Drosophila melanogaster: one gene and its partner. The protein of the gene in region 1 purifies or fractionates together with the protein of each later gene. This does not show direct contact. Each region holds a gene or a part of one and is shown on either strand. Other genes may lie near its edges.

Region 1 (15,987 bases):
CTGACTCACCACAAGACCATCAAGGATCTCGAAAAGTATTACGCCACGCTGGGCGACAATAAGGACGTCAAGGAGTTCCTGAACAATGTAACGTCCGATAAGGAGGGGTTAGTCCGTTTATATTATCTAATCTCTTACCGATCTGACTTTATATGCTCGTCTATCTCATCTAGAATTTTGCATTTGTTCCCCTGGTCGGGCATTGTTGACGAGGACTCGCAGCTGAGCGACACGTTCCGCGTTCCCGATCCCCAAACCGGACAGATGCGTCGACTGATCTCACAAATACCGCCCAAGGAGGAGGAGATGTTCAGGAACATGATCCGTCGTCTCAACACGATTGTAAAGGTAAATGGTTTTTTTCACTCTAGCTGTGAAATCGTACTGATATGGTATTTCCAAACCTCAGGCTGCTGCGGACTTGGATGTGCGTATCATGGTGGATGCGGAGCAGACTTACTTCCAGCCGGCCATCTCCCGTATCACCCTGGAAATGATGCGCAAGTACAACAAGGACAAGGCCATTGTCTTTAATACGTACCAGTGCTATCTGCGCGAGACGTTCCGCGAGGTGAACACCGATCTGGAGCAGGCCAAGCGCCAGAACTTCTACTTCGGCGCCAAGCTGGTGCGCGGTGCCTATATGGACCAGGAGCGGGACCGTGCCAAGTCGCTGGGCTACCCGGATCCGGTAAATCCCACGTTCGAGGCCACCACGGACATGTATCACAGGACGTTGTCGGAGTGCTTGCGACGCATTAAGGTGGGAATTTGTGGACTTTGGTTATAAGTGATTATAAATAAACCAAGTATTTATTAATAACCTCAGCTGATGAAGGACTGTGATGACGATGCCAGGAAGATTGGTATTATGGTGGCCTCGCACAACGAAGACACCGTACGATTTGCCATCCAGCAGATGAAGGAGATCGGCATCTCACCGGAGGACAAGGTGATCTGCTTCGGCCAACTGCTGGGCATGTGCGACTACATTACCTTTCCACTGGGTCTGTTTCCATAGCCTACCCCTTTCACTTGTCTTCCATGTGTTTATAATATGTGTTCTTTCAAACCAACAGGTCAAGCGGGATACTCGGCGTACAAGTACATACCATATGGCCCAGTCGAAGAGGTGCTGCCCTACTTGTCTCGTCGTGCCCAGGAGAACAAGGGTGTGCTCAAGAAGATCAAGAAGGAAAAACGCCTGCTGCTCTCCGAGATTCGGCGCCGTCTGATGCGTGGCCAGTTGTTCTACAAGCCCAAGGGCAATTACGTGCCCATCTAAGCTGGCCTAGATGGATGGAATCACTCTCACCCACACACATCCCTGAGGCGGCAAATCGGTTGCCAATTATATCCGGCTGAGGATATCGCCAGGAAATCGATCGCTTCGGACCTATTTTAATGTTTTTTTTTGTCGTTCTTATTACTCTAACGAAATTTCCGTATATTCAAAGTATATACATATATAAAAACTTGTGTATATACCAAGATCCTATAAAAGAGCGGCAATGTGTTGTCCTGCGAATCCGCAGGACCTTCTTCGCCCACAAACAACTTCAATTAGAGACGGTAGCACTGAGCGGTGGTAATTTTTGATGAAAATATGTATATTTTTACGTCATGTTGCAACAATAATCTAAACAAGTTCTGTATGTGTGTTACAAAGAAAAAAAAAATAGAAAAAAACCAACTGAAAAACGTCAAAAAAGTAAGAAAGCGAATGTGGGACTTCCACAACGAGGATTTTGAAAAAGGGGATTGAATTGAAGCGAACATTTTTTAGCATCGTAACAAATAAAGCATAAAACGTATGGTATATACATATTATATACAATATAATGAGAGCAAACGTTTATAGAGATATGTCTACATAGATACATGTATGTGTATGGCTGCATTTTAGTCTAGATTCATTAACTTCGTGATTGTGCCTGTTCCTCAGTATCAGTTTATCAGTTGTTAGTTGTCCATTCTTCATTTGCAATGTGATTTCATGTTCGTTTTCCCTAAGTTATACCATAAACTATATATTTATATAGAGCAATGGCAGCGAGTTATGGAGTGTGCAGAGCATTTGTTCCTCCATCTCGTGGCCATCCGATCTAAAATAGTCAAATAATACTGTTCATAGGAGCCTGGGATAGCCAACCGCGCATACCTATACCTAAACCTAGCGAGTTTTATTACGATTATGCTAAATTAACTTAAATGTTTACGTTTAATTTAGCACTTAACGGAGCGATATTATAAAAGTCATTACTATGATAGTCGATGGATTAGAGCCCGCTACAAAAACTCTCCCCCTATTTTCAATACGTTTCAATATCCATATCTGATTTCGCGTTTCGATTTCTCAGACAACAACAGATATAGACAGTCAGACTTGGCCATATACTAAGCCGCGCAGATCGAACCGACTAGTTTTTCATTATTACCCTCATGATTATTATTGTATTGCATAAACGCTATAAATAAATGAATAAATAATTGTATGAATGTTAACTATTTCAATGACAATAATAAAATGTTAAAAACGAATACGCATGCATCGCTTATATTTCGCCCCTAATGGTGATCTATTTTTCCTGGGACTCTCGGTGTAATGGACTTTAAATGGTATCCAGCTGCTGCATAATCGTCGCTGTGACCTACGGAACTACTGGCACTTTGGGTAATGTGACTGACTCGTAGATATTTTTTATTTTCATTTTCCGTCCGCTGTCAGAAAAGTTGAGCAAATGATATAGTGCCTTCTGCCTCTATTTGGGTAAGTGGTTACCACTTACCGCCACCCGAACAGCGGCCGTTTTAAGCATATACTTGTCAAGTTTCTGAGTTTAAAAAGACATTCACTTACTTGCTTATCGGCTGGATAAGTACAAACATACACATTTGGCGGGCATGCAAATAAATATATATATATCATCGATAGAGTTAACAAACTACATTGTTAATGTGCATGTGCAATTGGTTATTTTTACAGCCCTATTACAAAATTCTAAATTAACAGAATTTTCATATATATAAAGAAAATAACCTGGGTTTGTCAATCTGCAGCTATCTCCAACATAGGTATATTTTTCGTTTAATTTTACTCATTTCTAATTTAGGGTAAAATAACATTTTTAAAATTCCAAACATCTTCAACGGCCGCTTTTATGTTTGGCTTACATTAACAATATTAACTTTATTTCCTTATTGACTAATGCGACTATAGATACCATTTGCTACCCTACAACGCCTTCTTTTTTCTCCGGTGGGCAGGACGCCGTTTCCCGAAGTCCACCTGGCTAGCCATCAGAGGATCATTGACCTGCCGCTCGAAGGCAGCCTTGGCGGCCGACTGTCGTGGCTGTTTGGCTTCCGAGGCTCCGACAGGGGAAGAGGACGTTCCAACCACTCGCTTCAGGGCCTTTGGCACTATGTACTCGGGCATGTCAGAGAGATGACTCTGTACCTTGATGGCGCGCAGAGGCTTGTCGTGCCGAAGCGCTTGCAGATCGCGTTTGTTCTCCTCGAAAAATGCCTTTAGTTTCTCGCAGTTGAGGATCTCTATCTTTATCTCTCGAATTCGAGTGTCGTGAACAGCTACGCGAGTTGCGGCCCGCCAGCAATCCTGAGCACGATAACGGAAGGACTCAACTTCTTCCATTTTAAACTGGTAGTTCCTGAAGTGATGGCACACTTAGCAATATTACAATTTTGAAGATGTTATTCTATACTCACTTGATGATCTGTTCGCCCTCTTGGGCTGCAAAACTATCGCACAGTTTCTTCTCAACTGAATCGTTTACCTTGGACTCCTTCATGCTGACAAAGGACAAGACGGAGCCCTTGTTATTTCCTCTAGCCGTCCTGCCAGCCCGATGGATATAAGACGTGACATCCCTGGGGAAGTCGAAGTTGATTACGTTGTTCACGCACTGAAAGTCAATGCCGCGGGAAGCACTCGACTCCATGTCGCCGCTTCGAGGAGATTTTCGGTTAGTCGCTGATTTGCCTCCTGGCTTTTCCATATGATGTTCGTCGGAGGCAATGATTATGTCGTAGGTGCCCTTGTTGAACTGGCTAATTGTGTGGATGCGAATGTTGGCAGGCAGCTCGGAGTTCAAGACACAGGCACGGATGCCGAACTGCTCTAGGAACAATCGAACCCTGAAACATTTAAATGGGTAATAATTAGAACGAATTATAGTAAGTATTTAGGGGCGGATGGGAATGCCGTCAGCGAGAAGATTAGTTGCTGGTCATGCGTGCGCCAACTGTTGCCAGCTGCCCACTCCCTGCATTTGTGGTTTAATCATCATTGGCTCCTGTGCATCTAAGGCGGGATTCGTATGGTTTACTCACTTGTAACACCGATCGATGCTGTTCACAAAGATTATGCTCTTGCCGCGTATGAGTCTCAGCTTCAATAAGGCGTACAAGATAGCCGGTTTATCGTTTTCCTCAGCCAGAATGCGCTGGTGCGACAACTGATCTTGCGGCACCAACTCCGGCTCCTCGAGTTTAAGCGTAACCGGGTTGTTCAGGCACAGGCCTTTCATGCGCACCACATCGTCGGTTAGAGTAGCGGAGACTAGGACAGCCTGGTAGATGGGAGGCAGGTGCTTAATCAACCGCTTGAAGTCCTTTTCGTAGCCATAGGCAAACACCAGATCCGCCTCGTCCACCACCAAGGTCTCCACATGCTTCAGATCCACCACGCTACCAGCCTCGGCGTAGGCCAGCAAATTGGCGGGTGTGGCAACCACAATGTCGGGACTTTCAGACAAGGCGTGCCGCTGGGTCACCGTGTCGTTGGAGCTATCGGCAATGTCCGCCACGCGTACAACCTTGCCGCAGGACTCGACCAGCTGCTCGATCACCTTACGGGACTGCCGGCATAGCTCCTTGGTGGGCGCCAGGACCACAGCGCTCACATACTGCTCGCTGGCGTTCAGTTTGGAGTTAAGGATCTTCTGAATCAGTGGCAGGGCGTAGGTGGCAGTCTTGCCGGATCCGGTGCGGGCGCGCACCACCACATCCTTGCCCTCCAGAAGCAGCGGTATCGCCGTCGACTGGATAAGTGTGGGCTGCTGCCAACCCAGCTGGGCCACCGCCTGAAAGATGAGCGCAACACTTTAAAATCTGGAACTGTCGGTCGCAAGCCGGGCACTCACCTTAAGGATGCGCTGATCCAGCTCCAGCTCGTGGAATTGCACCGTTTTCTGGGTCATCTGGCTCATGGTGGGCGACGGTATAAAAAAAAACGCTGGAAAATGCGCAGCGCACGTTTTCTGGCCCAACAAGAAAAAGAGCGAGGCATCGGTCCATTGAATTATCGGCGACTTTATCGGCTTATCGATAGTTGAATTAAACAGTTATTGAAATCTACTTTTAAAGGTAAGCAAATACCTTTAAAAAAAATTTAATATATTCCATTTATTAAATTAAATAAATAAAAAGAGAGAATGCCATAGTCGAGTTCCCCGACTATTAGATACCCGTTACTCAGCTAGTGTGAATGCGAACGCGAAATTTCATCATTTTTCTGGGATATCAATAGCTAATTGGGGAATAAAATTAGAAAAAATTTATAAAGTTTGGCTAGATCGACTCGGCTCCTAATCCTTAATCCTGATCAAGAATATATATACTTTAAATAGTCGGAAATGCTTCCTTCTGCCTGTTACACAATCTAGTATACCCTTTTATTCTACGAGTAACGTGTGTAAAAATCAGCAATTAAATATTTTAACTTAACATTGTATAGCACCTTAACTTCTTTTCTAGTTTATTAGAGAAATCTCATAATTCGCTCTTTTCTGACTTATTTATCCTCCGTCTGAATGGATATGTGAATCTATGGGAATCGACAATTTCTTTAAAAATACGTTTAAGCCGACTTATAGCTTCTTCTTTCGGAGATCCTATTTATAAGGTTTCACCGTATCGACCGAAAATAAAATCCGTTGCAATCCAATAACTAAACAATTGGAGCCACAAACGCTACCGTTCTTTTTTGAGATTTTACCGTATGACTTGATAAGTTTGCAATCGGCTTTTGCGGGTTACATATTAAGGTTGTTATGCTCTATTGTAAAAATTCCTCGTATTTCTTATGTTTTTTTTCTCAATGTGATAGACATTAAGGTCATATCGATATATTTACATACATAAGTAAAATTAATAAACATAACATATTCCTATAAAACTTTCAAAATATATAAATCTTTTTTGCAGTTATAAATAATATTTTTAAATATATTTATTTTTAATACAGAGTATCCAATCAACGAAATTAAGAACGCTTATTACCGCACACAGCTATCGATATATCCGCGAAAATCGATAGTTCCGCGGGCTCGCGCAATTGCATCCGAATTAGTCACTTTCGCCGGCTGTTATGGACTATACACGTGAAATTTTGACCTTCCAGTTCGGAACGTACGCGAATTACGTGGGCACACACTTCTGGAACCAGCAGGTGAGTTGTCCTACCCACTTGGCAGCCGGGAGCCTCACGAATTACACATTTCCAGGAGGCCAACTTTAGGTACGGAGACGAAAGCGAACAGGTGGCCGAGGAGCAGCTGCCCAACAATGATATTTTGTACCGTGAAGGGCGCAACGACCTCAATCGTACCACCTACACGCCCCGCCTGCTGTCCGTGGATTTGTCCGGGACCCTGGGACATCTGCCGGTGACCGGCGAGCTGTACGGCAATTTTGTGCAGCGTGATGAGGAGTTGCTGCCCCTGAGCACCGGAGAGGAATTGGAACAGGTTCGCAAGCGGGCAGAGGAGAGCGGCGTATGCTCACCGGAGCAGCTGGAAGTGCAGGAGCAGTCGAAGGCCTCCATTTCCGAATATCAGCGGGATCTGCTCAAGAATGCTGTGGTGCCCGAGAAGAACTATCAGCTGGCAGCGACGGCAAACAGTTGGGTGGACTTCCTTTACGCCAGGTATCACCCGAGAACCTTGAATGTCTTGCCGGGGCTGATCCGAGATCCGACTGCCCAAGCCCTGGGTACCTACTCTGCCGGAACAGAAATGTGGCAGGAAGTCTCCTTCAACGAGGAGTTCTGCGATCGTATCCGTTTGTATGTAGAGGAGTGCGATGGCCTGCAGGGCTTCCACGTGCTGTTCGACATTGACGATGGCTTCGGCGGACTGGCTGGGAAGTGCCTGGAGCACCTCAACGATGAGTACAGCCGGGCGAGTTTCGCGCTGCCACTTCACTATCCCAGGATCACTAGTTATCCCCAAGCGGGTAAGTAAGGTGATTTTTAAAGAAATCTAGCATATTAACACAGTTTGCCCAATTCCCAGATACCCGCCTGTCGCACAGCATTCGGGTGGTAAACAATGTGTTGGGCTACCACCAACTCAGCGAGCAGGCTTTGATGTTCACGCCGCTATCCACGCTGGAGACCATCTGGCGAAACAATAATCTGAAGTCGCGCAGTCTGCCGGGACTCCAGTGGGAGACGGATAACCTCTACCAGACATCAGCGCTGCTGGCCGCCTTTTTCGACACGGCCACCTTGAGTTACCGCCTGCGGCAAACGCCAGAATCTTTGCTACGCTTTTGCGAATGCGTCACTCCAGCGGGCAGAAAGATGACCGCCGCTGGATTGGCTCTGCCATTTGGGCTGAGGGAGGGTCAGGATCTGATAGAGTTTCTAGACCAGAGTGGCGACCACGCGCTGCTCACACAACTCACACCGGGCTGTGAGCCTGGCACATCCTACGTGGTGCAATCAGTGACGGCTCGTGGCATTCCCGCGGAACGTTTGAAACGGCCCAGGGAGCTGGCCGGCGATCAACTTCGGATGGCTGCCTATAGCTGCGATAGTATATCCCATATGCTGCAGCTATACTACCAGTGCACCTATCATGGAAGTGTTACAAATGCGGCAGCCACACCACTGCCACTAAAGACACAGCTACCTTTTCCTTATGAAATGTTTGCAGCCGGTATATCACGCGATGGCTACCGCTTGCCTGAGGGGGCGGAACGCGAGACGGGTAGTCGTGTGGATTCGGCACCCATGCTGGCCGCCGTACAGAACTCCACCAAGCTGGGCGAGCATCTGGACAATGTGCACGCCCAATCGCATCGAGTGCAGCTGGCCAAGTTGCAAGCGTACTCTAATTCTGGATTGGAGCGGGATGAGTACGATACGGCGCTGGATCAGCTGCTTGAGTTCCGCGACCTTTACGCAGACTCGCAGTATCTATAGGATGCTGTGGTTTTGGAAACTAAGATTTTGTGATAAGCCTAGGATTATGTACACAAAAAACACTCGTATACAGTCGAATTCAAGATGAATATGTCATTTTATATTGCCTCCGAATTATATTTTCGTTTAGTTCAAACGACATAATTTGATTAGTTCTTGTGCATTTATTTCTGTTAAATTGTAATTCCCTTAGAATTCCTATATCTCTTTTATTTTTACGACTCTCGTGAAGATTGTTGTAACCAAACTCAACCTATCGATGCATATATTATTTGCTTAGCTTAAAATGTTCTCGAAACCATTGTTACGGCCTGTATGTATAAGCTTAATGTGCCATGCTCCTTGTCCTCTAAGGTGTCAGGTTGGTTAGCTTTACCCGGAGCGGAAGTTGATGGGCTGTGGCCCCACCCGCGGCACTTTGTGATTGGCAGTCTCGGAAGCGGCTTTGATATTTTCGCGTTTCCAGGAAAGCGAGGAAAGTAAAAAACAAAACAAAACAAAACAAAAACAATGTTGTCTGGGCAGAGAATTTTGAGAGTCGTCAATGAAGTTTCTAATAACGCAGAATGGTCGAAATGGCCAATTTGATAAGTATTTAAAAAAAATGTTTAATTCTGAGCGGTAAAACGTTTGTGACTACAAGGTCTATAATTACATCGATTTATATCTTTAGTTTCTCAGCTGAATTCTTGGAATTTATCTGCTGTTAAAAACCTTGTCTTAAACTATTTGCTTACTATAAACATTTTGATTGGCGTACTAATGTTAATGGTGTTAAAAAACATTTTAGGGATAATATGTAATAAAAGGTGTTTGAGCTTGGAAATCGTTAATCTCATTATATCTCATAATAAATGTTGGCTTTCATCGTTAGGAAGTTATTAAATTATGCGTGCCGGATGGGCTATTTCGCCCACTGTGCGACCATGACGACATGGACGTGCCTAAAGAAATCGGTGAATTTTTATTTGCATGGCAATCAATTTTTATTCCTGCTATCCTGGAAAAGGCCAGGGGCATATTAATTTATTGAAAAGGTCTTTATTAAAAAGGATAGACTCTATAGTCAAAAAACTGAACTAACTGTTTTGGGACTAATGAGTTTTTACTTGCACTAAACATAAATTAAAGGGATGTGTGCTTTTATTTCTGAATTACTTTTATCTATGTAATTTGTCAGCTTTTTTACAGATTTTCTTTTTAAAACTCTTGCCTTTATGAAATATAAAAAAAAATATAAAACAATCGCTATGCTTTCATATCAAACACAAATAACGCCACGGACCTACGCAACCACTGGGTAACCGGAATTCGGTCTTTTGAATTGGTTGCCATCTTCTCCGTTGACCCCAAGGACCCTTCCTGGTCGACTTCACCTTTCCGCGACGTCTACGTGCGGCTACTGGCCGCTTTGTTTAACCTTAACCCTTACGGATCGGATCGAATTGGATCGGGAGCTGGGCCGCTTAATTTATACGAAAATTTATTGTCAATAAAGCGGCAGTAATTGAAATCTCAACGGGAGTAAATCACAATTTTATGGACTGCTAACGGGCGGCGACTAGGTGGATGGGATTGGGATTGGGATTAGGGCCTGGAGAAGGGGGTTCATAATTTGGGCGAGTGTTTTCCGTTTGCCGGTCAAGTTTTCCGCACCAGCCCTGCGTCCTGCGTCCACATTGTTTTGCAAATTAAATTTCAATTTGATTGGCACCGCTCCTTTAACATTCTGCCGTCTTTTTAGCACAGGTCCTTAAAGCAGCTGCTGTTCTCTAGCTGCTGCTGGTGTACTTCCGGGGAAAAAGGACCAAATCCGAAATTAAAATTACGCCAACGACTTTAATGGAATATGTGCGTGGAATTCGAAATGCCAAATTGAATAGCCTGCCGAGCTAGTGGAGTGTATATATTTCGTATATTGTTTTTTGCAGCTTTTAATTTTGTTTCGTTTTCGTTTTCATTTTCGATTCGGACCGGTCCGGTCCGGTTCGGTCTGCATGTGAATTGGGACGAGTCCTTGCATTAGCATGCAGTCCTGTCACTGCACATCCAGCCGCCACTCACTCCACCTGCAATACATGTATTTGATTAATGTGGGCTGCACCAGCTCTGATCCAAACACTGGGCCACTCACTGGGTGTCAACTTCTGTAGAATTTAAATTTAATAATCAGGCAGATCTTTAAGCGCCTGGAATGTGGGCATAAAACCAGGCGAGGCATGTAAAATAGTTTCATTTTGTAGGCCAAATTTGCACAGCTCCAATCTAAAACGTAAAAGAAGAAGTTAATATTTTAACTGGGACACAGGGACACTGGGACACTGGTAGGTACACTGAGAACGAAATGCATAATTGCATTGGAATTTAATGTCATCATAAATTCGTAATTATTTAAAACTCAAAATGCCTTAAACCTGAAGTTATTCAACATGCACATATGTATGTAAGGAATGTTGACGGCTGTATCCGGCAGCTAGTCACCTTCCAGGTGGCAAGTGTCAGGAGCGCTAATGAGCTTGGGTAGGAAGAGAACACTGTGACGAGTTCTGTACGGATTTCGGAGGCCAGAAATGGGAGCCATTGGTGGATTACTTATGGATCGCTCTACATTGATCCAGATCCTATGATCGAATAAGACACCAAGATCTGGGACAGTGTCGGTGGGTTCTCTGGTGCAGTTATGTGCTAATACGTCGCGAGCCTGATCTAATCAGTATTAAGCAGTAGCTTCTTGGCTTGGCATCAGGAACGATGGTTATTGAAGTCGAGCTGGAGCTGCTTGTAGAAATTAAGCGAGTCTAAGTGCATACACAACTTAACTCACTCACTTGATCTAAGATGGTTAATAGTATTAGGCCAGTATAACTGGCTCGAGGAACTCATTGAGGATATGGTTTTAGATTGTACTAATTAGATTCGATTCATTTATAAAGGATTCCATATTAGCAAGGCTGAAGGGATTCCAATGACTTCAAGTTTTTGGATTAGTATGTGATGTGATGGCTATTATTTAACGCATAAAAAACTAGTTTTTTTTTTTTATAGGAATATAGGCATTTATTAAATATCAATAAAGTTGCCATACATGTTAAGATATATTTGTTAACATTTTTTCTTTATATAAAATTTCATTTCGAATTAGTTTTATTCAACAGATCTCGCTTTTAAGTTGACTATTATTTTTGACTCCACTCAGCTGTATGATTTAATGATTTATGATCAATCTATGATTGCGAGAATCTACCGCGCAATTTTTTAATCGGTTTCCAGGTTTCCCGATTTAGAGTTGACTAGTTGACTAGTAAAGTAAAGCACACAGTAATGTAATCCTAACGTTTCTCTCTGTATCCTGAGCTCCGTTATCCCTTTATCCCTTCGTTTTCAATTAGCTCCTTCAATTACTCAGTTGGTCAGCTACTTAAGTGCTCGGCTTGTTCGCCCACGCGGCAGTTGATTTTTAATTTCTGCCCGTCTTGGCAGCCCCCATCATCCGCACCCGGCTATATCTGTGGTTCCATCGCCGTCTGGGCACTTCATCATCCGGCGAAGGTACTCGGAGGCGGCGTCCGACACTCGGCTCCCGCGGCCAAAACAAACTTAACAAAGTTAGCTAAATTTGGCCGAAGGCGTCATTTTAACTGCCGCTTACTACCACCCACTCATTCGGCTGCCACCCACCGCCCTTCGATGTCGACATTTCAATGCCTTTTTAATCTAGAACAAAAGCAAACTTAATTTGCCACAACATCTGAGGAGATAGCAAAAGGACGACAGCAGAGGGCCAAAGGAGGGCTAGCACGGGAATGCCATCCTGTATTGTACTCGGGGAAATTAGAGGTCTCGGCGGTTGTGGTAAGTAAACATTCTCAAATATACCCGTTTAACATTCATATATTTATGTGCACTAACTAGGTTGATGTATAGTGTAAATTTCGTAGTATATTTTACCATTCTATTAAAATTAATTTATTGCGTCAGGTGTAATAGTAATACATTTTTTCTTAACCATTTAACTAGGTTTATTGTTTGAGTGTATGCGAAAAGGAGAAGAGAACGATTGTGAGAACGTCACTTGGCACATAATTTAATTACAACAACACTTTTCGAGGCCATAGCCATCCAGGAGGCGATGACACTTTGAAGTTAACCACCCACCAGCACCCACAGCCCAGGCACCCAACCCATCCAACTACCCAACAGCCCAACCGCCCAACCGCCCAGCCACCTCCCCCCATGCGACTTCACCACTCAACTCCAGGAGTCGAGTGTTGAATGAGCAACAACTTTCGAGTGCAACGCGTCCTGAATTGTAATTAGTGCCCAGGAGCAGCCAGTTGGAGCCGAATTGGGGAGGGTTTTTTTGGCCAGTTCATTTGAAATGGGTACGGAAGGTATGGAGGGGCGCCTCCAGAAGATGGCTTCACTTGATTTATGGAGCGCGCGAATTTGTAATTGTTATTACGTGTAAATGCTCCACTTCAAAACAATCAACTCGCTTCTCGTTTGCCCCTTTTCACCAAACCGTATCCCAAATGCGGCATCCTGGCCATAAATTAGTTATCGGTGCTAATTGTTGAATGGATGAAGCGTGATTTGATAAGGACGTAACTGGTGGTAATTGAGGAAAAGACAACTATCGTTGGCCCACTGCCGACCAGGTTGTCTACTTAAACAATATATAAGGGGGGAAAAATTATCAGATTTCAATCAAAAATAAGCCGCTACAGCATTCGACATAAAAACAAGAGGGAATCTTATAGTCGAGTTCGTAGAGTTATTTTCGATAAAATATCGAAAAATGGTTCAAAAATGTGGCCGTGGCAGTTTTGTGCGGTTTTAGGGCGTTAGAGTGGTCGTGGCAAAAAGTTTTTTATTGTACATCGATAGGAATTTACAAGACTAATAAAAATGTAAAAAAATTGTGGGCGGCTATTGATTCTGATCAAGAATATATATACTTTATATATTCAGAAGCGAATGTACATACTGTATGTATGTGTATATGTATATATGTATATATACACAAATTCTTCTACATGCTATCTACATGCTAATACTAATGAGCCATAATGCTTTAAACTGTCACAATCATATACACTTCAATCGTTCCTTATCACATACAATTTATTGTATAATACATATCATTCCAATCCAAGAATGCAACATTTTGGAGTGGCTTATATTCAATATCTAAAGTAACCAGAACTGAGAAATAGCACGTTACTCATACACATACATTAAAGTGTTTTTTTTTTTCAAATTTCTTTTTATAAGAAACCGTAGACCTGGAAACACATCCTGAAAACAAGAGTATTTATTAGAGGACACCCTAAACGCCTTTGTTCACTGGCACATAACCAGTTGAGTGAATGCGTGTGTGTTCGTTATGGCAAAGCCATAATCTTGTTGTTTTATAACTTTTAATGCCTCCTAATCCAGTTGCTGCTCCTCGGGCTCATCCTTTTAAGCTTCTGTACCTTCTTCTTGGATTCCACTAGCGCCAGTTCTGTCGCAAATTGACCAAATGCACTTAATTGGTAAACAATTTGGCTTTCACCCAAGCGAGAAACGAGGCCGGCTCGAATAAGTTCGATTCCAATTGGCCCGGGGAATGATTTGCTTCAAATTCTCAATGCACTTCCTAATCGCCAGTGGATAATTTAGCACTGGCATTGCATAATGCCATTTAACTAATTGTTCTAAAATTACTTAACTCACGAAAAGTTTTAGTATTGGCCGAAGTAATTAAATGGCTCGCGTGGTACTCGCATGTACCTTCTGGCTTGATACATCAAGTTGATCATAAGCCAAACATGGATGAAGATCCTTTGGATAACTATTTGGCATTCAAGGATTAACTTAGATAAAAAAATCACGATTGAGCTAAAAAAAAAAATTTATTACGCACAGATTCGCTTTTTGATATATACAATTATTTATGAACCCGGAATAGCCGAATGGGCAAAACTCGAAGGGGAACATGTCAAGCGATTTATTCTGTGGAGGATGCTGTGGATGATTCCGTCGAGGATTCCGTAGAGGACTCTGTAGTGGAGGACACTGTAGTGGACGAAGCTGTCGTGGTGGAAGTGCTTGTTGAGGCCTCAGTTGTCGTGGATGTGGTTTGGTTGGATGGAGGTCCCCATGGTTTGGGGCCTCCTGGTCCACCTGGTCCTCCTGGGCATCCTGGTCCTCCTGGGCCTCCTGGTCCTCCTGGTCCTCCTGGGCCTCCTGGGCCTCCTGGTCCTCCAGGTCCTCCAGGTCCGCGACCTCCTGGGCCACCTGGTCCGCCAGGTCCACGTCCTGGTCCTCCGCGACCACGACCTGGTCCACCAGGTCCACCAGGTCCACCGGGACCCCAAGGACCAGGTCCTTGGGCGGAGGCCACTGCGACCAGGGCAACAAGAGTAACAAGGATAAGGGTACGCATTTCGTTATCTGATAGTTAACGACTCGAACTGATCTCGGCATTACTTGGCATCGGTATATATACCCACCGTCTGCTAAAAGTCTCGGTGGCACATGTGTTCCATCGGTGACGTTTGCGCGTTGAGCAAACTAACGTCAGTGTGGATTTGTAAATTCCACTTTCCAAGTCAGTCACTTCGCAATTGACATTGGCCTTCACTCTGGGGTTCTGTCAGATGGAAAGAATATGAGTTTGTAGACAATGGTTGATTCATGTTTAGGTTTATTTCCAAAATTGTTGGTTACAAAGCTTTGTTAATGAGTCTATAAAAAATATATACTCTTCTCTATTTTTTCTGAATTTAATAAATTATTCATATTGAAATGGTACTATTACACATATTTGAAAATAAAGTTTTATAAAATTGAATGCTGGATAAATGCGTCTTAAAATCAATTGCATCTAAAACTATTTCAGTTCAGAACTTAACAATGCTTTTACCTTATGGTAGTAAAGTACGAATAATTTCTACCAGCTGTTTGGATTGCTTTATGGATCTTACATAAAGGAATCAGCAAGTTCCGTGAGCCATTATCTAGCTAAATATTTGCGCTCCATCCATATGTGATGAACTTTGTGGCCAGGCGTCAGTGGACTTGATGTTTATAAACCATCAATCGTGTCTTTGACAAGAGTGTGAATTACCTAAGAATAAGGATGTTTGAACAAGTGGTTCCGTTAGGCTTTAATGAAAGTCAAATTTGCAAACACGTAAAGTTGAAAACAACTAAGGAAAGAGAAATCGTAAGAAATTCTGGAAAGTCTATTATATAAATCTTTAAGTTGTTAATACTACAGAAATGACTTACTTAACATGAATTCAGTGCATTCTTACTATATGTCGATAGTAAAAAAATCCTCTTGGGGCTATATTACCACTTACCACTTATTAGTGCTTTACTCAAAACTCAATATAATGTGACGATACATCTATGTATATGCTTATGTACACTAGTCGGCATAAGTATTTTGACAATATAAACGCAGTAAAACTTTAAAATATTTTGATATGACAACAATGATTTTTGTTGTTGTGTGTAAGTAACATAAATTTAAAAATTAACTAACGAAACTTAAAAATATATAAACAATTTAATGAAATATGATGATTTTTTGTATTGGCTTAAAGTTTTTGACAAGCCTTTAACACCTCAGTAAATAAGTTTAATTGAAGCTGGAGCTTAGGAGTAGGGAACCAATTAATAAAATATATATCCACCTTTGGCATAAATAACTTTTTGAAGTCGGTCCTTTACTGAATCCACCAAATTGTAAAGGATCTCTGGAT
Region 2 (15,816 bases), on another chromosome or scaffold:
ACTTACTTTCCTTTGGTTTGCGCTGTGGCAGCGATTTTCGATTATCGATTTCGTTTCGTCTTAATTAACAACTACAATTACTATCCGTACCAGTACATTGTATGTAATGTAATCTGCACCTTTCTTTAGTATGTACCAAGCTGCAACAACTAAATAATAACAATACTCCAATTGAATTCCAATTACATTCAGCCACTTGTCGAGTGAAAAATACAAATGCTTGAAAAATCTATGAACCAACAAAACTAGATCTATGTCTACTAAAACCGCATACCTATATCTACTCTATACTCTTATATACTCTTTGACATTTGCGTATGTGCTTCTTGTCACCAACTATACTCCATATACTACTCGTACCAACAACCTATATATATATATATATCAATATATCTATCCAACCAAACGTATACCCATATGTAACCAATGTTAACGGTACTCCGCCTAGTCAACAACTTAGAGCAAAGCCGATCCTGGCTAGACAAACCCCATGGCGAGGCCCCCGAGTTTTATCCATTTCTTGTTCTTGGAAATATTCCTTCCACAGCCGAAACGATTCTGGGTCGCCACAGTACCATGGAGATTCGCTCGGTTCACCTGGGTGGTCTCTTCCACGCCGAGGAGGAGATCCAGATGACCTCCACCATGCCGAACTTTGTGGGTCAGATGCAGGGCTTGGTGTTCAATGGCCAGCGGTGGGTATCGATGTAGCATACTTAAGGAATTGATCTCAATTTCGTTCTCTTCTCACCCAGCTATTTGGATATTGTCAAGAGTCTGGGACCGGAGCTCTCGGCTCTGCCCAGTGCCACCTTCAAGTTGACTGCCCGCTTCGTGAACTCTCCGGCCGGACAGCCCTACCATGCAGCCACGTTCCGCTCCAAGCACTCATACGTGGGTCTGGCCATGTTGAAGGCCTACAACAGCATTTCCATTGATTTCCGCTTCAAGACCGTGGAACCCAATGGTCTGCTCGTCTTCAATGGCGGACGACGCAACGATTTCGTGGCAGTGGAACTGGTCAATGGTCACATCCACTACACTTTCGATCTGGGAGATGGTCCAGTGACGATGAGGGACAAGTCGCGCATCCACATGAACGACAACCGCTGGCATCAGGTCAGCATCAGGCGCCCGGGACCCAAGACGCATACCCTAACCGTGGATGACTCCTTCGAGATTATCAGTCTGACTGGAAACAATATGCACTTGGAGCTGGCGGGTATCCTGTACATCGGAGGCGTCTTCAAGGACATGTACTCGAAGCTGCCGGCCTCGATCTCGTCGAGGTCCGGATTCGAAGGCTGTCTGGCATCCCTGGACCTGGGCGATGCCTCTCCCTCGCTGACCAGCGATGCAGTGGTGCCCAGCTCACTGGTGGTCAGTGGCTGCGAGGGACCCACCAAGTGTAGCCAGAATGCGTGCGCCAACCGAGGAAACTGCGTGCAGCAATGGAATGCCTATGCCTGCGAATGTGACATGACTTCCTACACAGGACCCACTTGCTATGATGGTAATATAAACATTCTACTGTCTTCTTCTTTGATTCATAATATATTATGCTCTTTAGAATCGATTGCCTACGAATTTGGCAACAACAAGGGCATGGTGCAATACACATTCCCGGAAAACGCACAAGCTGACACGGAGGAGGATAATATAGCACTGGGCTTCATAACCACCAGGCCGGATGCAGTGCTACTGCGGGTGGAGAGTGCCACCACGCAGGACTATATGGAGCTGGAGATAGTGGAGGGCAACATCTTCATGGTGTACAACATTGGAAGCGTCGATTTGCCGCTGGGCGAGATCGGAACGAAGGTCAACGACAACGCCTACCATGTGGTGCGGTTCCAGCGCAAGGGAGGCAATGCCACGCTCCAACTGGACGACTACAATGTGCAGGCACTGACGCCACAGAGTAAGTAAACAAGGGGATAGATCAGCACAGGGGGTATCTAATGCTCTACCGAACTTTCTTCTCCAACGACTTGCAGGCCACCACTCCACCGTGTTCAATACCATGTCCAACGTTCAGGTCGGCGGCAAGTTCAGCCGGAACGGTCGCAATCGAATCGAGCGGCCGTTCGCCGGCGTGATTGCCGGACTTTCGGTGAACAAGTTACGCATCTTGGACTTGGCCGTCGAACGCGACCCCCATATCACCATCCGTGGAGATGTTCAATTGGTAACTGGAGTATTAGATAGAAATGATCTGCAGAGAATGCAGCAGGTTAGGGAATTTATTTGAAATTTTATTTGAATTCCTCTCAACTTTCAACTTTCCAAGTATTTTTCTCATCGTAAACCAAGTTTATTCGAAATTCTTTCTTTGATTAAAAACCAAAACAAAAAAAAAAGAAACCAAAATGAAATCTAACCAAAATTGTTGTATTAATCCGCTTCATGAGTTGTGGAACCCCTTTTCCCAAATTGATTTGACATGATTTGATTGCACCACTGAAATTCGAAAACCCATTCGAATACTCGTAATGTACAGTTCCCGAGCACTATCCTGATATTTGAAATGCATATCCGTGTTAATCGTATCGAATGTAACCGCATCTGTACATTGAAGTCATCGTCATCACAATCAAATCCGGGAAATTCGGTTCGACATTCAGTACAAACGTTAACCGTTCCAACTAAACCAAAGTATTAGCTAACTAACTGTATAATCTAGTGTAAATGCTGCATTTGAATTTATGAATTTATGAACTTATGAATTTATAATTTACCTCGGGTGCCTTCGTTTTTTAATGTACCGCTTTGAACGCACCAACCAAATAACAAAAGCCAATTAAGATTTGCCAGATTTTTCACTAACCAGCCATTTGAGTTTCCTCGATTTGTTTCCATTGCTGCACAGCACATTAACCAATAACTGTGAATATATATAATCAGCTATATAAACTGATACGAATTTACTATGCACTAGAATTCGTCGCACTTATGCTGCATGACTCTAATCAAAGCTCACACTGAAACAAAAGCAAGTGATAGCCAGTGGAGAAAGAAAAGTTTGAAGAAAGAACCAATGAAAGAACCTATGGACCTACTCATAAAATTAAATAAATAATAATCTGAAAGAAGCTTCTCCATTGGCTTAATGTGCCCACACCCATCCACACATATATACTTAATCGAACAGCACCTAACAAACTTACTAATCCAGTTAACAAACCCCATACAATAACCATCGCTTGGCCCGGCTGCCGCCAGATCAACTGAAGTAAAATTAGACTTTGAACTCTACTCGACAGACGCCGGCGAGTGGTTATCCGGGTGCGCTGGACGATCTGATCTTCTCGGGAGCCGGATCCGGATGTCGCGGCGACGACGAGGACGAGTGCACGCCGCCATTCGAATCGGGTAGCGGGGATGATCTCATAACACCGGTCTACGTGCCGCCCACCAAGCAGACAACCACGTCCCAGCAGGGGAATAGCTTGAGTACCGGCGGGAGCAGCAGCGGCGGTGTCATCACCAATGGCACGGAGCGTGCCTGCGACGACGAGGATTGCGTCCATGGATCCGGGGATTACGGCGAGACCACGGAACAGTTCACCTCGACGAGCACCGCCCGCGGTTCAGGTGAGTGGCTACAGCGTTGTGTGTTGGTCTCATTTTGTCATTGGCATTTGGATCAATCACGGAAAGACACAAAAACAACAAGAATCTACACCAAGCACACACACACGCGCACACACTTCATCACAGACATTAGCTAGCCCCACTCGAAATTCAAGTTAAGTGTACGCCATTAAGTATACGCCCTAGTAACGTAGATAACGTGTTAACGATTAAGCTGTGGGTTCAATTGTGTTCGAGTTGAAGTTGAAGTTTGAGTTCGAGTTCGAGTTATACTCTATATATATATATGTATATTCGAAGCTCTTGCTCTATATAACCGCATAACCGTTTAGCTAGTGACGCTTTGCCTTTTTCAGTTCAGTTGTTCAATGCTCCACGGAGATCGAGGAAGTTAGGTTATTGCCAATGCAACGCCAATGCTTTGAACGCTTACACAATAAAACAATATATATATATATATAAATATATATGAATATATGTTCAGATATCGCCTCTATCGCACCCCTCGCAATGCATCAACCCAACCAGAAACCAAAATCAATCAACTCGCCGTGTCATCTCAGCTCAGATCAGCCCAGAAAAAACAAAAAAAATATATATATATGAAAAGTATCGCAACAATCGTCGCCTATATCCTTCATCTCCACCTGTTGCCGATGATCGATTGCCTTCTAATTTGAACTGACAACGAGTACGCCTTATGTGTCTCTTTCAGAATGTGAAATCGCCTTCATATTTCTGACTGTGATCGCGCCATGGATACTCTGTAAATTCCCATAAGCAAACAGCAAACCAATGCAACCAATGCAAGCAATGCACTTAGGCTAAGCTTCCAACTAGACCTCTGTCTAACTGTATGACTAACTCTAGCATTAACGAGAGCTAAACCACCAGCAACAGCAACCAATGCAAATAACAAATGCAACTTCAACAGCTACAACAACAACAACTATAACAGCCAGAACCACAACAACAACAACCACACCGATCATTGGCGAGGGTTTTTGGTTGAGTGAGGGTTAAGCGTTAAGCGATAAGGGTTAAGTTAAATGCACCCACCACCTTGCATATATACCGTATATACATATATGTATAGTATATATGGGTGCACCGATCGAAGATGTATATGTTTTGTACATAGTAGCGATAAAAGCAGCGTCTGCAAGTGTAAGATGTGATTTTCCCAGTCCAGTTCCTTATTCACCATCTCCTCCTCCTCCACATTTATTCCCTCGATTGCATAACTCTACCGTTCTTCCAATTCCAATTTGTACATATCGTGCGAATAGATCGAAGGTCCAGCACCCAAAACAACAATGACACACCTCAACATATCTCTCAATATCTACAAATCTCTAATCCTCTCTAACTGTGTTGAATAAACTATTGAAAGCAAAGCACAACTGGCGGTTCAAGTGATTTTTGGGAGGGAAAGATGACTCAATTAAAGGTTTCCGAAGTAAGCACTTTGAATCAGGATTCCGTTTATTATGATTAGTTTCTAAAATTCTATAATAAATTCTTACATATTGGAAGAGAAATTGTGAACCCATGGAGAAAATTTAAAATATCATTTATTCCTTGGGGAATAATGGGGTTTTAAGAAATATCGAGGGTAGCAATGCAACCACTAAGCGCACAAACACACTCGCAACAAACATACAAGTATAGAGCACCCCACTTGAGAACACTTGAATAAACCCAAACCGACTGCTTGCAGAGTCCAACAACGAGATGGTGACCATTACCACCACGGGACGCAGCGATGTGACCACGGAGCAGCACCAAGGCAGCAGTAGCAGCAGTAGCAGCGGCAGCACTCCGTCCTACGCAACCACGCAGTCGAGCAGCAGCAGCAGCAGCGGCGGATCGGCAGCCAGCACGCCGGGTCAGGTGAGCACGACCAGCAGCGTGGCCACATCGTCCACGCAACGGGCGACTAGCAGCAGCACCAGCACGAGCAGCAGTACAACTTCGACGACCACGACAACGACCACCACTCAAGCCACACCGCCACCGGAGATCCGGAGTACGGTCACCGAGCGGGAAACCACGCCCTATGATATTTATATAGCTGGTGGCGGCATGGGTGGGTCCGGGCGAAATGATCACGATCGCATGCAGCTGCCGGACGAGCACCACCCACTGCCACCGTTGCCGCCACCCATTCCGCCGCAAGATCCACCTCCGTACGGACCTTATGGCGGCAACACGTACAACACCAACATGAACAACTACCGTCCAAAGGGTAAGGGCGGCAGAATTAACTCGATCGAGGAGGAGCGTACCGCCATGATAATCGGCATAGTGGCGGGCATACTGATCGCAGTGGTGCTGGTCATCCTGCTGGTCCTGTGGCTCAAGTCGAATGGCGATCGTGGCTACAAGACGGAGAGCGAGAAGGCGGCCGCCTACGGTTCCCACAATCCGAATGCTGCACTCCTGGGAAATACTAGCACCAATGGATCGTACCACCAGCAGCGGCAGCACCATATGCATGGTGGCGGAGGCGGTGGAGGTGCAGGGCAACAGCAGCATCATGCCCAACAGCAGATGCACAATGGGCACAATGGTAATGGAAATGGAGGAGGCGGCGGCGGTGGCGGCATGATGTCCAGCGGAAGTGGGTCACTTGGCTATGGCAGCGATGGGCGACCCCAGATGGCGGGCCTGGTGCAGCCGAAGGCCAAGAAACGCGACTCCAAGGACGTCAAGGAGTGGTATGTGTAAGGCGGCATGGTCGCAGGGAAATATCGTCAAATTAGCAATTAATAGTGCAAAGTGAGCCGAAAGTGAAAGTGAAAGTAAAAGTCCCCCTAAGATACGAGAAACAAAAAAAAAAAAAAACACACACATAAGCGTATATAAATATATTTATTTAGCAGCCTCGTAACGTTAATTAAACAATTAGAAGCGGACGCAGTCGGACATTGGGTGTACAAACGGAAACGGAAGTGGACGGAAGGATAATAATATGTAGATGGCGCCTTGCGCAGCTCGGTAGGTGGGCATCACGCGATTCACGATGGCTGATAACGTTAGCAGCAAGCAGATAGAGCAGATAGCCGGTAGCAGATAACCGATAGCAGATAGCAGATAGACACGCAAATACTTTAGACAAGTGCATCTGGCCAGGAGCATTGGTTCACAGCAAAGGTAACGTTTAGATTACGCCTAAGAAATTATAGCTTCAACTCAAGACTTGCTAATAGATACCACTACCACTGGAGAGCAGCCACAACCATCAGCGAATAAGCAAATTACACTAAACGTATAAAACTATATATATTATATATATCACAGCGTTACGATAAATTATGCCACTAGCCAATCAAGTAATTGTGTAAAATATTTCGCCACAAAGTATGCTATGAAAAGATCGAAGGAAGACGGCCCAAAACCGAAAGCAAAACTAATTAAACTGCAAATCTTCTAGCGAAACCACTAAACAATTTAGCAGAAATTCAATATAAACGTACTTAAATATATATATTTATATGTAAACGTAAAGTAATGAGGTTCTGAGTGGGTTTTTTCTTCGCGTGTAAAGTTACAAAATGTGGTGCTGTAAACGTAGGAGACAAACTTTGGTTGACTACAATAATAGTAATAATAATAATAATGATGACGGGGAATGCAAGAATTTATGCTACAGATTGTTTGTTGAATTGAAACCGGCTTTAATTAGTTAAAATGTAAATGAGATAGTGGTAAACCTAAAGGATAACGAAACGAAATCAAACACGATAATACGGAGGAAACAGTAGAAACCCACGATTTGGTTGACATATACGTGATGCGACTTTTTCGTTTGCGTGCAGCAACTCGATGCTACTTTGAGTTAGTCCCTTCCACTCCCGAGCCCCACACATATACTTTTTATATGTATTTGAGACTAAATATTGTCACCGATCTGCGTGCAATATGAACTCAGACATATCAAGGAAAAGACAAGACACACACACTAGCACACTTACACACGAAACACTCTAACACACACGCAAAATTCGAAGACACTGAAGCGAACCTACCTAGCTTTTCTACAACAACTGCTATTCAATGTGAGCGAACATTACTTTACCGTCGACTAATGAGGAAATCAAGCAACAATTTTACAGTATTATAGCAGCTTTAAGCGTATTTTTCGAAGCCCACGTGACGTATACACAATCAGCAGTCACCAGCACACTCACAGCTTACACCCACATACTATTACACAAGCACACATACATAGACGCGAAATTCGATATTCAGCAAGCCGCCATTAAATTCTGTATACATATTAATAATCGCATATATCATTTTGATGCGCTATATTAAAATTTTTGTCTCACTATCAATACCAATTAGTGTATCATTTTGGATTAGATATACAAAATACCTATATACACTCGATATACTACTACTAATACACGCACACTCACCTCACTCACACAATCACCAACTCACGCATTCGATCACTAGCGAAATTACTGGACATACTTCTCTCGAATTCTTAATGGAAACCAAGGCAAGGTATGCTGTAAATACCTAGGAAAGTACTATATATACATGAATATATATATATATATTTAACAACTAAAAAACATATATATACTGCATTTCAAGAAACTTTTGATATATTTTCGAGTTTTTTAAACCCTTATCTTGTATACAAAAAGGAAGCGAAAGCGAAAACACGAGACAAACTAGCGAATCTAGCTGAAATGAACACCTAGGACAATTACAATTACAAGTACATAGCGAAACACAGTACATACAGTACATACAGTACAGTACAGTACATAAACACAACTATATATACAGGACATACACGCATACATTCAAACTATACTATTTATAAATGTACATCTATACAAAATATACATACATGCATACCATATAACGTACGAGTATGTTTAACGATCAATGATTATTATTACGAATTACGTCCCTTCGATTTGATAATGAAACCAAACGAAAAGAAACCACAAATTTTAACGCTGTTGATAACCAAAACCATTCCCACTTATAAATGTAACACTCTCTCCCGACAACTTTCTCTCTATCTCTTCACAATGTTAATGCTGCACAATGAAAACTCTGCATTTAAAGTAAACCACTAACGTTTATTCGTTTCGATTCAAGAGAAAACCAAATTATATATAACTAATTATACAAATTTGCCTTGCGATTTAACAGCGAGCACACGATATTGAATCCAAAATCCAGATGGGGAGCTTAAAATATCCGCGATTAAGAAATCGAATCGACACGCCCTCAAAAGCAAGATCTTCTTCATTGTTTCAAAACGAATTACATTTTATTAAGATCAAAACCAAATCAAGGTAAATGTTATGTATGTATGATATAGTGGGAGGATCGCGAAGGACGAGTACAGTTAGTTGTATGGGTAAAATAACATAGTTAAAGCATATAACTTAATAGTTCAAGGATCGGAGGAGCAGCGATTGCGAGTGGGAGCGCATATAGAGGGGAACGATCGCAAGTATCGGAACTAAAACTTACTTCTACTTAGGCTTAAAATCATTGTTATCTAATCTATACATATATAAAAACCGACATACAACACCCCACATATAACAGAGAATATGTATATGAACATGTATTGGATGCGCGGCGCTTGAGCTGTGCCTACTTATATATATATAAATATATATATATTTAACAAATTGTAACGTGTATATGTAGCGGCAGTGATTGTTAAAGAAATTGCTTTGTTTTGTGTTAGATTTTATAATTTACGAGAAAACCAAAAACAAAAATTGTAAAACGCATACAAATACAGAATGACTGACAAAACACAGAATTATAACATTGCATATAATAAATACAATAAAACTATAATTGAAAAACAAGTTTGGTTAATGCTTTTTTGCTGAGTAAGATCTGTCTTTAAACTCAAAAGATATTGTAGATTCAGAAGTCACTGATTTTTTTTTTAAATTTTTACTTCGCGCTTAGTACTCGATAACAAATCGTCGGCGGGACTGGACTACCGACTATTTCAACGAATCATTCGATTCCCGATTGCTTCCGTGAAATCGATATTTTCTGACCCAGCTTCATGACATCCCTGTTGAGTTGAATACGCAAAGGTGGCAACCTTATACGGCGACTGAATAAAATAAAAGTGGAATTGTAAATTATAAGTGTAAGCACTAGCAATGGCTGCCACCCCAAGCGCACCCGCCAAGTCCGAGATGATCGACCTGACCAAGTTGAGTCCGGAACAGCTGATTCAGATCAAGCAGGAGTTCGAGCAGGTGCGTTCCGCATGTGGGTGTGTGATGAGTCAAGTGTGCTCGCGGAGGGGGTTTCTGGAGGAGGGGCGCCCCAATTGGCACATGCTTCTAAAATCGGTACATTTTTGTGATCCTTAGGAGATTACCAACGTACAGGACTCGCTGTCGACGCTTCACGGCTGTCAAGCCAAGTACGCCGGATCCAAGGAGGCGCTGGGAACCTTTCAACCCAATTGGGAGAACCGTCAGATCCTGGTGCCCCTGACCAGCAGTATGTATGTGCCAGGACGGGTCAAGGATCTCAACAGGTTCGTCATAGACATCGGCACCGGCTACTACATTGAAAAGGTGATTTACATTTCCAATCGAACCTAGAATATTTATTGATTGCCATCTGTTTCTCAAACAGGATCTGGAAGGCTCCAAAGACTACTTCAAGCGACGCGTGGAGTACGTGCAGGAGCAGATCGAGAAAATCGAAAAGATCCACCTGCAAAAGACGCGCTTCTATAACTCAGTGATGAGTGTGCTGGAGATGAAGCAGGCTGCTGCAGCGAAATTGCAGTCGCAGCAGCAATCGCAGCCGGCGGTTACCCAGAGCTCCTAGACTACGGAGAACGACAGAGACACGAGACACGGAAAGCATTAAATTATTAAACTTATTAACGAGATGTGTGCATTTAATTAACGTAGTTTATTAAATTGTTCAGCTATTTCTTGGCTTCTGCCAAAGCCTTGGTGAGAACCTTGACCTTCTGCTCGTACGCGGACTTAAGATCCTGTAGGGAAAGAAGGTAATAGTATATCAAGTATATCATTGGACTCGAGTTATAAGGCACCTTGAATATCTGTGACTGGGTGTCGTACTCCGAACGCAGCTTGTCATACACTCCTTTGGAGATGGCTAGTTTCTTCTCCGTGAGCACACACTTGTCTTGCTCCGCCTTGATCCACTGCTGGCTCTTCTCCAGACGAGCCTGCGTGTGATCACATTCGGCGGTCTTTAGCTGCAACATGTCCTTGGTCACCTGCAGCACATCCTTAATCGAGTCTACTTGTGTCCTAAGCACTGATATCTGCTGCTCCTGCTGTTTGTTCACCTTGGTCTTCTCGAACAGCAGGGTTTTGGCCTTTAGAAGCAGCTCCTCCTGCTCTTGTCGTGATTTGGGAGCATCTGTGCCGCCCAGCATGACGGACTGCTTGAGCGACTGCTCCAACTGGACCACTCTCCGCTTTAAACGCTCATTTTCCGCCTTGGCTTCCTGCAATCAGGGTCAGTAAGTGGGTGCAGCCCGTGGAGACGAGTAACTAACCTCAAAGTCTTTGCGGAGCGCTCCGATCCGTTTGCGAGACTCCTCTAGTAGTGCCTGTTTTTCGCTTTCCAACGTGAAAACCATGTCCAGCAGTTCGTTCTGCGGCTGCTCCGGCTGACGCACTTCCTCCTGCCCATTTGCTGTTATATTGTTGTTTAGGTCACCGCCAACAGCTTCATCTTCGTTATGATCGGCCATTTTATGAAGAATTCTTTTTAAATGATAAAAATTCGTAGAGCAATGTGCGTTTTCCGTGCTTTTTGGGATGTGTTTTCTTTTTGTATTAATAGACCAAATAGATGCACGCTCTATTTATAGGACATCCCACTCTCCGGATCGCTCTCTGCCTGCTCTTGGCCAGATCGCTCTCCCGAAATAACAAACTGTTTCCCTCCAATTTAGTTTACGCCTCAGCATATTCTGAAGATCAGTTTATTATACATTGAAGCATGGATGAGAAAGGATTGCGGATGTGCGGTGTTAATACAGATCGCGAAGGGCAACACAATTAAATTGTTGTTACAATCAATGGGGCGACAATTGAAAGTGAGTGATTTGATTAAAATTAAATGCCTAAACAAGATAGAAGAAATGTGCTTCGCTCGCGGTGAAGAATGTCTAACCGTCCAGCTCGCCGGCAGCGCATGCATCGGCGTAACTCTTGCCGCTCTTGTCCTCCGGATTCAGCTTGATCATGTCGTCAATACGCAAAATGGTAATGGCGGCCTCCGTGGCGAACTTCAGCGACTTGATCTTGGACATGGCGGGCTCCAAAACTCCAGCCTTCTTGTTGTCCCTTACCACTCCCTCGATCAGATCCAGACCGGTCCACTTAAGATCCGAACGCTCGGGCTTCGTCTGGCTGGAGTTGTGGTAGGAGCGGAGCTTGGCCACTAGATCAGTGGCATCCTTGGCCGCGTTCACGGACAGAGTCTTGGGAATGACCAGCAGCGACTTTGCGAATTCGGCAATGGCCAGCTGTTCGCGGGAAGCCAGCGAGGTGGCAAAGTTCTCCAGGTAGATCGACAAAGCAGCCTCCACACAGCCGCCGCCGGCTACAACCTTCTTGCTCTCCAGCACACGCTTCACCACGCACAGAGCGTCGTGGACGGAGCGCTCCATCTCATCACAGTAGAAGTCATTGGGACCACGCAAGATAATGGATGCGGCAGCACTAAAAAGGCATAGGGATACGATAAAGCAAACTATGTTACTGCATGATATAATCTGCACTTACCGTGCCTTAGTGCCCTTGATGAGGATAAGTTCATCATCGCAGATGCGCTCCTGGGCCACCTCTGCGGCCTCTCCCACCATTGAGGCATCGAAGCTCTCCTCACCGTCCATGTTGGTCAGCGAGGTAATAAAGGCGGCGCCGGTAGCCTTAGCAATGATCTTCAGATCGCTCTTCTTCACACGACGCACAGCCATGGCTCCAGCCTCAACGAAGTACTTCATGCACAAATCATCAACGCCGCCGCTAACCAGTACTACATTGACACCGGTTCCGAGGATCATGTTGATGCGCTCCTTGGTAATGTCCAGCTCACGGGCACGAATAGCCTCCAGCTTGTCGGGATCATTGATCAAGACCTGGACACCCATCTTCATCTTGGTCTTCTGCAGCGAGAAGTCTAGGCAGGCAATCTTGGCGTTCACAATCTTCTTGGGCATCTGCTGGGAGGCAATTGTGCAGTTCAAGGCATAGCCGGGAATCAGCACCGATTCCCTGGCAGACTTGCCATGGGCCTTCAGGACATTGATGGCTTTAATCGAATAGGCTGCCTGCCCACGGGGATCTGTGATTTTCACCGACTGGGCAGCGTCCACAACCATGGCTGAGAAGAACTCTGCGTCAGCACCAATGATCTTGGAGCTCATCGAGGTCTTGGCAATGTTAATCAGGGAATCGCGGCCCAGCTCATCAACGGGAGCGGTCAGATGCTCCGAGATGTACTTGCAGGCCTCCTTGCAGGCAATGCGGTAGCCGGAGATTATGGAGGTAGGATGAATCTTCTGCTTGACCAGCTCGTCGGCGTTTTTCAGCAGCTCAGCGGCCAGGATAACCACCGAGGTAGTGCCATCGCCGACCTCCTCGTCCTGCAGCTGAGCCAGCTCAACCAGGACCCTTAAAATTTAGAAATGAGTACTTCTTTGAAAGATTTCCCACATCAACAACTCACTTGGCTGCCGGGTGCTCCACCTCCAGCAGTCGCAGAATGGTGGCTCCATCGTTGGTCACTGTGACATCGCCGATGTCGTCCACCAGCATCTTGTCCAGACCCACGGGTCCCAAGGAGCTTTTCACGATGTTCGATATGGACAGAGCGGCCATAACTGAAAGCATATAAAAGCCGAGTTGTAGTCATAACCTCACTTCGCATAGGCTTGTCCACAGGATCTTGTAGCTCCTTGGATTCAATGAGTTTTTTTGTTAATCCAATTAAAATAAGATCGCCCTCCCCCGGGTTGGTTCCGGAACATTCTTCGTGGAGAGCGTGACCCGCGATGAGTAAGAAACGTGCTCCGCCGGCAGACGCACCGCAGATGTTGACAAAACCCCGGGATTCTCACCGTTCTGTGTGCGCACCGATGCGCCGGATTGGCGGGTGCCAGCAATGGACAGAGGAGAGGCCAGGGTCGACATTTTCCTAAGTTCTTCCGCGACTTTTAATAAAAAACAGATAAATCAAATACGCTGAAAAACCGCACGTTAAACCGCCTGACTCACTTTAAGACTTCGAGATGAACAAAAACCCGATGTCGATTCGATACTATCGAGTGCAAGATTTTTTCTTGGAGAGCAAGGATTCCATAACATTTATAAGTTTATACTATGTGTTACATTAGCGCAGCATCAAAAATATATAGAACATATATTGGCTTATTTATTATTAGGCATATTTTGCAGCACATTCAAAGCGGCGTTCAAAGTATCGATGGTAATCGATAACCGATTGTTTAGGGAACCCTGGTTGAGCATCAGGTAACGGTTTTTTAAATATTAATTCAAGATTATTATTAATTATTAATTATTAATTATAAAATTGTGCTTTCTGATGGAGTAAAAGTATTCAGTAGGCATTGACTTTGATTTCGCATTACATATCGTGTGCTCTGTAAGATATTTTCAGTTTACCTCTTGATCTCAACGATATACAGCCCAAATCGAAGCATTTCTTACATCTACAACAAATTGTTAAAGTAAACATTTTTTTTAACTTTTATTTATTACGATAAAGATGTCAGACTGCGGAGCGCGCCCCAAAAAACCCATGAGCGCCTTCATGTTGTGGATGAATTCCACCGGGCGGAAGCACATAAAAGCGGAGCATCCCGATTTTAGTGTCCAAGAAGTGTCTGTGAAGGGCGGAGAGATGTGGCGAGCCATGGCCGATGAGGACAAGATCGTGTGGCAGGAGTCGGCCACCACGGCAATGGCCGAGTACAAGGAGAAGTTGAAGCAGTGGAATTTCCCCAAGGAGCACCGCTTTTCGGACACGCAATGTATTTGTTCCTCAAATACTAACCAATGCCCCACCCTTTTTGTGTACGACACCATGGATGACTCGATGACTCCGATCTGCAGGAAGTGCTTATCAAAGACCAGGTGCCTTCACTAAGCGTTTACTACATTTGTTAATTTATTGTTGTACTAAAATCCACAAGCTAATATAAATTTGTTTTTGATAAATTTAAATATTAACACTTTTCGTAGCATACATACAGAAGCGCACCATCAGCCGAAAATGCTTGGCTGTACTCTCCAAGTTTTCCATGTCCTATCTCGCGGGTCTTGGACCAGTATGGCCAACAAAAATCTGTGAAAGCACTTTGCTGGCGGCTTGTTAAAAAAGAGGGAAAACGAATGAAAAACTCGCTAGCCATCAGCGTTTCAACGGTTTGGGGTCCTTTTTTCATAGTTACCTTATTGAATTTTAAAGATCGCACAAAGTATGCCGTGTTACATGCATAATGAGTTACTATAGTGGCTATGGCCTACGAATACGAACGGCTGGGAAAGTGAAAACGTGATTGCATGGCAGGAACATAAATTAAAACTTTGCCTTTTAACTCAATTAACAATGTGGTGTGCGCAGAAAAAAAAGGGAAAACAGTGAAAGTTATTTACTATTTTTAATGGAAAGTTATTTGTAATTACCTACTCAAACTGGCACTAATTAGCGCGAGTTTTTAACTTTTCTTACTTTCACAAAGTTCGCGGAATTAATCCAGGCTATACAGTATTTTTCAGCAGCACATTCAAAGCCACCTTACAGATATTGCTGGAAACCGATAACCGATTGTTTTGGAAGCCCTGGTTGAAAATCATGGTAACGCTTTTTTAAATACTAAATATTGGTGCCTTAAAAATATGCCCTATAATAAATTAAAACTATTCAGTAGGCATTGACTTTGATTTCGCATTACTTATCATGTGCTCTGTAAGATATTTTTAGTTTCGTCTGGATCTCAACGATATTCAGTCCAAATCGTAGAATTTCTTACATCTACTACAAATTTTCCAATTAAATTTTTAAAGTAAACATTTTTTAACATTTATTTATTACGATAAAGATGTCAGACTACGGAGCACGCCCCAAAAAACCCATGAGCGCCTTCATGTTGTGGATGAATTCCACCGGGCGCAAGAACATAAGAGC

What was found.
Region 2: the proteins of mst (region 1) and CCT1 purify together in Drosophila melanogaster (affinity purification with western blotting; one study listed by BioGRID). This does not show direct contact.

The regions. Positions count from the first base shown.
Region 1 is NC_004354.4:21,382,621-21,398,607, forward strand, and holds mst (misato), read left to right. Parts: upstream 1-6,356; 5' UTR 6,357-6,391; coding exon 6,392-6,472; intron 6,473-6,527; coding exon 6,528-7,257; intron 7,258-7,316; coding exon 7,317-8,230; 3' UTR 8,231-8,913; downstream 8,914-15,987. Other genes in the region: slgA (sluggish A), read left to right, coding at 1-107, 174-348, 410-763, 830-1,007, 1,080-1,285; Ddx56 (DEAD-box helicase 56), read right to left, coding at 3,236-3,671, 3,730-4,158, 4,354-5,105, 5,166-5,231; lcs (la costa), read right to left, coding at 14,223-14,660.
Region 2 is NT_033777.3:22,477,533-22,493,348, forward strand, and holds CCT1 (chaperonin containing TCP1 subunit 1), read right to left. Parts: upstream 13,908-15,816; 5' UTR 13,884-13,907; exon of another isoform or gene 13,820-13,883; 5' UTR 13,800-13,819; coding exon 13,727-13,799; intron 13,490-13,726; coding exon 13,336-13,489; intron 13,281-13,335; coding exon 12,390-13,280; intron 12,327-12,389; coding exon 11,771-12,326; 3' UTR 11,573-11,770; downstream 1-11,572. Other genes in the region: Nrx-1 (neurexin 1), read left to right, coding at 548-695, 756-1,513, 1,571-1,921, 1,998-2,233, 3,243-3,594, 5,315-6,324; Pfdn5 (prefoldin 5), read left to right, coding at 9,762-9,860, 9,978-10,187, 10,249-10,446; CG5376 (uncharacterized protein), read right to left, coding at 10,550-10,618, 10,679-11,101, 11,153-11,350; tHMG1 (testis-enriched HMG-box-containing protein 1), read left to right, coding at 14,395-14,775; tHMG2 (testis-enriched HMG-box-containing protein 2), read left to right, coding at 15,484-15,486, 15,731-15,816. UniProt on the Drosophila melanogaster protein: Molecular chaperone; assists the folding of proteins upon ATP hydrolysis. Known to play a role, in vitro, in the folding of actin and tubulin.